Bombyx mori: one gene and its partner. The protein of the gene in region 2 interacts with the protein of the main gene of each other region in a pairwise test. Links are inferred from orthologs where the notes say so. Each region holds a gene or a part of one and is shown on either strand. Other genes may lie near its edges.

Region 1 (3,722 bases), on a different chromosome or scaffold from region 2:
TCACGACCAAAAGTTTTTGTCAAAATTGGTGAATAATACGACAGGGTTGTTGTTGATCTCCTAAGAAGCGTTTGGAATTAAATAAAATCTTAGTTTGTGAACACAAACAATATTTTGAATAACTAATATAAAAAATTATATTAATCAAGAAGATTCAAACTAATTCTTTTAGTGTTCATTATTCTGATTAATAAATGTCACTATAATTTCAAAATGTCTTAAAATTTGTTGAAATTTAATGTTTTCAAATAGTCATTTTCACATGGGTATTTTAGAATAAATTAACTGTTTTTTCGAACAAGTTATCCGTCCATAAATTGTATGTAAAAAAATACTTAATTGATCTCAATCTGTAAGTTAATTTCCTTTATAATGTTAGTCTCACAATAATTGTTAGTTACTTGTTGTATTTTTGAAAATATATATGAAACCTCTTTGTATTTGATTTTTTTTTGTATAAAATATACCTTATAAGAATTTTTCTAATTATGAAATGAAAATACCATTTTAACATAACAAATAACATTTATAATTAAACAATTTGGTATAAATAACAAACAACTATTTAAATTATGACACAATAGATTATGAGCACAAAAAAGTAGTTAAGAAATCACAAAAATAATTGTTTTTTTTATTTCAATTTCCTTTCTAAACAAAGTAGTACCTACTTTAGTTGCAAATTTGCTGGAATATGTCCGATTAAACAATAGCTGGAACTGTCAAGCGGTGTTGAATTAACATAAAAAATGTTTATTGTATATTCTGTCTACTAAAGAATTATTATTATTAAGTTATGTCAACTTAATGTGAATATAATAATTTTGTGTAAATTCTATTCAATTGCAATAAGATAACTGTTTTATCACTATAATCTTCTAACATGTTGAAACAAGTGGCTGTTGAATATTATTGGTCCTTTCCTGTAGCAGGGTTCATCATCATTATACCACTGATACATGGAGAAATCTGGGAAAAAGAATTTGATCTCCTTTTCTGCTGATTGAGGGGAATCTGAAAGGAAAAAGAATAATTCCACACCATCCCCATATTTTACTATCAGTAACCAGATATTTGGCCATTTGAAATTAAAAAATACAAACCAGTTTAAAATGAATAATTGGTTTTTCATAAATTTTATAATTTTAATAATATACTAAGAGAGCAAAATCATTGAGGAATTGTAAGGTTGTATGTCAAAAGCTGTTATTACCAGTTTAAAGGGAGTACATTGTACCCTGTATATACATTTATCATATACCCAGTATATATAGGTTTTTTTTTTTTATTGCTTAGATGTGTGGACGAGCTCGCAGCCCACCTGGTGTTAAGTGGTTACTGGTTATAATTCTTATCAATATATTTATTTATACCTGAACCATGTGCAACATTCCTTGTATCTGAAATACCAAACAGCCCCCTGAGACAGTACGGGTCTTGGAACTGTGCTTTGTATACACTTGTGGGACCTAGCATTTTTCTCCACATCTGTATTGCTCTCATGTGTCCAAGGATATGCAAATCTATGCAGCCACTGTAATAATTGCTTTATTTGTGTTCAACAGTCACTATCTACTCAATCATAAAAAAGTTTTTTATTTTTTATTTCTTAGTTGGATGGTCGAGCTCCCACCTGGTGTTAAGTGGTTACTGGAGCCCATAGACATCTACAACGTAAATGCGTCACCCACCTTGAGGTATAAGTTCGAAGGTCTCAAGTATAGTTACAACGGCTGCCCCACCCTTCAAACCGAAACGCATTACTGCTTCATTGCAGAAACAGGCAGGGTAGTGGTACCTACCCGTGCGGACTCACAAGAGGTCCTACCACCATTAATGTAATAAAGTAATATTCTCGAAAGATTAAATGTAACATAAGTAACTTGGTTGAACTTCCTTCATCATCAGCCAAAAAATGCACATAGAACTCCTGCAAAGTGACTCTTCCTTACTTCAACTATGAACAATGAATCTAATAGAGATATACTAGAACCTAAATATTCCCAGGAAATTTAAAATTACACGTACATGTAACTATAATTCATGATAGGTTATTACGTATTATTTAATTACCTGGCCATAAATGTGACTAGACGGTTGTAAAAGAACTTCCCTACATGCTCTCTATAAAACTTTGCTGCAGTGTCTTCATCCAACAATATTCTTTTAGTTTTTATAACAACGAATTTGCTCTTTACAGCTTGTCGGATGTATGATAATGCTATAGGATTCTTAACGGCGTGGGGTTTTACTATCGCTAATGTTAGCTGAAGCTTTTGCATTGTGAAAAACAACTTATTTTATTCATATTATGTATTGAATGAAATATTTATTTAAATGTTTAGACACACAGCACGGAAGTAGTGGTAGTTCCGTTTTTCTAATTGGAATTTGGAAAAGCGAAAGTATCAAACCATAGAGCCTTTTATTGATTATGATTAAGGCCGAACAAAATCAAAATTAAATCCATGAAATCATTATTTCACAATAGGTATATAATCAATTAATAGTAGTATTCTTTTAAAGTGTTCCAATAGAAGATGAAACGTAGTCGAAAGTTTTAGAACGTATTGTAGTTTGACAAAAGTTCGTCGTTTTATTCGTTTTAAGTATGCGTATGCTGTAGTCGTCGTGGCTTAACGTATAAGACGTCCGGTGCATTCGTGTTGAGCGATACACCGGTGTTCGGATCCCGCAGGCGGGTACCAATTTTTCAAATGAAATAAGTACTCAACAAATGTTCACGATTGACTTACACGGTGAAGGAATAACATCGTGTAATAAAAATGAAACCCGCAAAATTATAATTGTAATTACTGGTGGTAGGACCTCTTGTGAGTCCGCGCGGGTGGGTACCACCGCCCTGCCTATTTCTGTCGTGAAGCAGTAATGCGTTTCGGTTTGAAGGGTGGGGCAGCCGTCGTTACTATACTTGAGACCTTAGAACTTGTATCTCAAGGTGGGTGGCGCATTTACGTTGTGGATGTCTATGGGCTCCGGTAACCACTTAACATCAGGTGGGCTGTGAGCTCGTCCACCAATCTAAGCAATAAAAAAAAAAAAATGCGTTCTCGTCTCTTTTAAAAGTTCATTACACAAACAAAGCGATCGGGGCTACACGTGAAAAAATTGTAACTTAAACAAATGATTTATAGCCGTCGTGACCTAAAGGATATGACGTTTGGTGCATTCGTATGTAGCGATGTAACGATGTTCGAATTGCGCAGGCAAGTGCCAATTTTTCTAATGAAATACGTACATATCAACTAAACTGACTTCCACGGTAAAGGAATAACATCGTGTAGTAAGAACAAAGCCCGCAAAATTATAATTTGCATAATTACTGATGGTAGGACGTCTTGTGAGTTTGCACGGATAGGTAGCACCACCCTGCCTATTTCTGCCATAAAGCAGTAATACGTTTCATTTCGAAGGCTGGGACAACCATTGAATTTTTGAGGAGGCAGTCTCCTCCCGGTGATGGTCACGGGGCCTCCCCCGGGCCAACTCCCTCACCTGAGGGGGTTGAGGCTGCGCCGCACGCTACCTACCATCACTCTAGCGCGCTGGCACAAGGAGGACGGGACAACACGTCAGCGACTACGGCCTGCAATGCGGTCCGCATTGTCGTCGTCACTATCGTCGCCGAACATACTGTGGAAGAGCAACGCGGTCGGAGGTGTATCGCGTTCTGACCCATCAGGCTGGTTTTGGCCAAGCAG
Region 2 (3,939 bases):
ATATGCATTGTTACCTAATGTATAGACACCTTCTTTGTCGGTCAGGATTATTGTGTGAGCACGTCCCGCTGCCACTGCTTTAATCTGCGAATCGGTAAAAAGTATCAAAACATTTCTGATCTTACTTCTATTTAATATCCTTTAACATTTCCTTCTGAATACTTATTATTTTTATTACTACAAAATTGTTGTTTGAGTCACTATGGATACCACTAAATCTTCGGCAAATAAAACTATTACTAACCTCACACTCCAAGCTCTTGTAAGGTATATAAATAGGTGCATAGCTAAGCAGAAGTTCCAAAGGATGATTTCGTCGTGGTGAATGGTATCCAATTTGGGAATCTGTATTGATACCGGTACCGAAAACTTTGTGCTGCTCTGAAGTTTTTATTGAGGCTACTGTGAAACCGTAGCCACAGGCTATGTTTGTTATCTGAAAATTCAGTTTTTCATTATTCAGCTAATGTTATACATGATATAAGAATATAAAATAAAAATCTAATGTAATAGATTGAATTTTATTAGCGTGCACAGCGTATACTTAAAATCTACTAAATTAGACTTAGCATTAATACTATTGTCTAGTGATTTTTGCAAGTAACCAGATCTGAGTTACTACGTAAATTATATATTGTTCAGGTTATAGGCCTGATATACTACTGGAAACTTGACAGATCCTTCACTTTCATTGAATGCTTCCATTAGAGGTAGTTTAAGTTGCTGGACAGGGACAGAGGATGCAATGTTAAGCATATGTCGTGGTAAGAATTGTATATGATTACACTAATTGTATATTTAGCACTAGTATCTATCTGCTATATAACAGCCAGAATTTTCAAAGGCCTATTCCTACACAATAATAAACATAACAAATTATTTCTGCTGTGAAGCAGTAATGTGTTTCAATTCGAAGGTAAGGCAGCCACATTACTTTAAAAACAGAGACATTAAAATTCATATCTCAAGGTGGATGGCAGCATTTACATTGTTGATGTCTGTGGGTTTCGTTAACCACTTAACACCTGGTGGGCTGTGAGCTTGTCCACCTATTTAAGCAATGAAAAAAGTTAAAGACATTCTGAAGTTTAAATATATGTGTAGTATTTAAAGTGTTTCTAACTTTACAGTTGTCATGAGCAACTGACTACAATAACCAAAGTATTCAATAACTCAGAAATAATATAACGACAAAAACCCTTAATTAAATGGTGAAAATGTAGTTTTAATTATCTCAACTTTTTAGAAATTGTTTATTTTTCTTTTAAACAAGTATTGGTAAATTAAAGTTAAAAGTCCTTACATCAAATCTCTCTGCAAAAGAAGACCTCATTGGATGCCAAACCAATTTGAAGTTGTTTTTGTAACTTTTTTTCCCTTTCTTGCCACGTGGGAGGTGGATACCCAGAGCACCTGTCTCAGCAAATCCCCACACATAGACTCGTCTGTCTGTACTTTTGCTTATTGGATACTGGAATACTGTGGGACACACAACACAGTTTAAAGTCGATTTACTGTCTCAGCAGGAACTTACATGTTGTTTAATTAAATTCAGAATGAAAGTAACCTCCAATCCTATAGGATTATATTACTGTAGTAATAGGAATCATTCTTCATTTAGTAAGTTAAATATTTGTTGTTTTAATAAATTCATCCATTATTCAACTTCCTATCCCTTTTTCTTCAAAACTGTAAAGCGTAGATTATGACATAGAGAAATACATAGTATGTACTTCATTTCATAGTAAAAACTCTGATCTATTTTGCCTAAGCTTTATCTCAAAATGAAAAGTCACTTCTATATTGGTATCTGTTTATAGGCCCCAGTAGTATTGTTACTTCGGCATCATGTAAACATTTAATAATTTGTGCCAACTGCCCTAATATGTTCTATAACCTAACTAAATAGTGAGAAGTTTCTTATAATGTTATCTTTGATAATTTAATTTATTTATTAAAATTAATGTTCTATTTATATTGAGAATTAAAAACTTGAAAAAAAAAGTTTTTTTGATTAATACAAAAGGACTGTAAGAAGTCTAGAATGCAGAGTTAATTCATTTTTATTTATTATGCCTGATCCTGTTATATTAATTAAAGATGATTATGAAACTGATATTATAAAAAGTATGTATTGATTGTGTATTTATTTACTTGGTAAAAGCTCCTCTTCACTTGGGTCATGAACTTTCTTCTTAGTCGTAATGGAAACTCGATTCAACAAGAAAACAGGACTTCGCCGGTGTATTAAAAATTTAGCTGCATACATATTAATTAAATTTCCAAGCATACCACAATCAAAAAACAAATTGTATCTATAATAATCAAGTGTATTTAACGCGAAGCACTTTTTTATTTCAGGTTATATTTTGTCGACTTTTGTTTTGATGAGGGATTATGACCTGGTAACTAAGACCTTTAGGTCGTCTTATTTTAATTCATGTTCTTATTTTTATGAAAAATGATAAGTGGAGTAAAATGAAATGAAGATGATTCATTTGAGACAATAATCAAGTGGGGTGAAATGAAATGAAATGAGATGAGATGATATGAAATGAAATATAATCTCAGTAAACTAGTGGTCATTTACTGAGATTTTTTTAGTGGACGCTTTGGAGGATCCCGAGGAGTTACGTTCAGCGGCTTTGTTTTATTTTCACACATTTGTGCACTTTCACAGATATTAAACAGTTAATAAACCACCGCTATTACACATTTAAACCTGAAGAAACGCTAAATTGACAAAATAAAACAAATCACACAACTTGACTCCTCGCGTTCCCGCCGAAAAGTCGACTTTTATTATGGGATTTTATGGCCTGGTAACTAAGACCTTTAAGTCAAGTCTTATTTTTATTTTAATGAAAACTTTTTTATATGAAAAATGATATTATGAAATGAAATGACGTTGATTAATATGAAGCATGGCATGTAATGAAATGAATGAGAAAAATATGATATTGGATGAAATATAATCTCAATAGAATAGTGGTCGTTTACTGAGATTTTCAGTGGACTTTTTGGAGGATCACGAGAACCTACATTCAGCGGCTTTAATTAATTTTCTCACATTGTTCACTTTCGCAGATACTAAACATTCAATAAAGCACCGTTATTACACATTTAAATCCGAACAAACATTAAATAGACAAAATAAACTAATCACACAACTTCACTCCTCGTGTTTCCGCCAAAAAGTCGACTTTTATTTTTGAACCCAGACCATAAATAATGTACGTAATATTTATCAGACAAACCAAAACAGACAGCTCTTACAACCCGAACTTATAATCACATATTGTTTTTTTTATTTATTGCTTAGATGGGTGTACGAGCTCACAGCCCACCTGGTGTTAAGTAGTTATTGGAGCCCATAAACATCTACGACGTAAATGCGCCACCCACTTTGAGATATAAGTTCTAAGGTCTCAGGTATAGTTACAACGGCTACCCCACCCTTCAAACCGAAACGCATTACTGCTTCACGGCAGAGATAGGCGGGGTGGTGGTACCTACCCGCGCGGACTCACAGAGGTCCTACCACCAGTAATTACGCAAATTAAAATTTGCGGGTTTGATTTTTATTACACGATGTTATTCCTTCACCGTGGAAGCTAATCGAGAACATGTGTTGAGTACGTATTTCATTAGAAAAATTGGTACCCGCCTGGGATTCGAACACCGGTGCATCGCTCAATACGAATGCACCGGACGTCTTATCCTTTAGGCCACGACGACTGATATAATAGTTTTTGTATAGTGCTCACAATGCTCTAGCAACCTATTGTCTCCCATTTTCTTCCATTTCACACAATCGTGAACTTATTCGAATACTAAATAGGTTACGTGGCTACATGTGTTAGCCCACACTTAAATTTGGTTAAAACTTAAAAGAATAAAAGAAAATAATTCACACTATATCAGTATTCCTATTCTCCT

The links.
Region 1: the proteins of RCC1-like G exchanging factor-like protein (region 2) and nucleoside diphosphate kinase 6 interact in binary tests that used the Homo sapiens proteins (3 or more experiments, as listed by UniProt). The link is inferred for Bombyx mori from reciprocal best matches to the Homo sapiens genes RCC1L and NME6.

What each region holds. Positions count from the first base shown.
Region 1 is NC_085109.1:1,112,035-1,115,756, forward strand, and holds nucleoside diphosphate kinase 6, read right to left. Parts: upstream 2,409-3,722; 5' UTR 2,283-2,408; coding exon 2,074-2,282; intron 1,535-2,073; coding exon 1,374-1,534; intron 1,015-1,373; coding exon 869-1,014; 3' UTR 506-868; downstream 1-505. Other genes in the region: uncharacterized protein LOC101739724, read left to right, coding at 1-36. UniProt on the Homo sapiens protein: Major role in the synthesis of nucleoside triphosphates other than ATP. The ATP gamma phosphate is transferred to the NDP beta phosphate via a ping-pong mechanism, using a phosphorylated active-site intermediate. Inhibitor of p53-induced apoptosis.
Region 2 is NC_085111.1:18,487,889-18,491,827, forward strand, and holds the start of RCC1-like G exchanging factor-like protein, read right to left. Parts: upstream 2,412-3,939; 5' UTR 2,291-2,411; coding exon 2,155-2,290; intron 1,480-2,154; coding exon 1,304-1,479; intron 437-1,303; coding exon 245-436; intron 85-244; coding exon 1-84. UniProt on the Homo sapiens protein: Guanine nucleotide exchange factor (GEF) for mitochondrial dynamin-related GTPase OPA1. Activates OPA1, by exchanging bound GDP for free GTP, and drives OPA1 and MFN1-dependent mitochondrial fusion. Plays an essential role in mitochondrial ribosome biogenesis.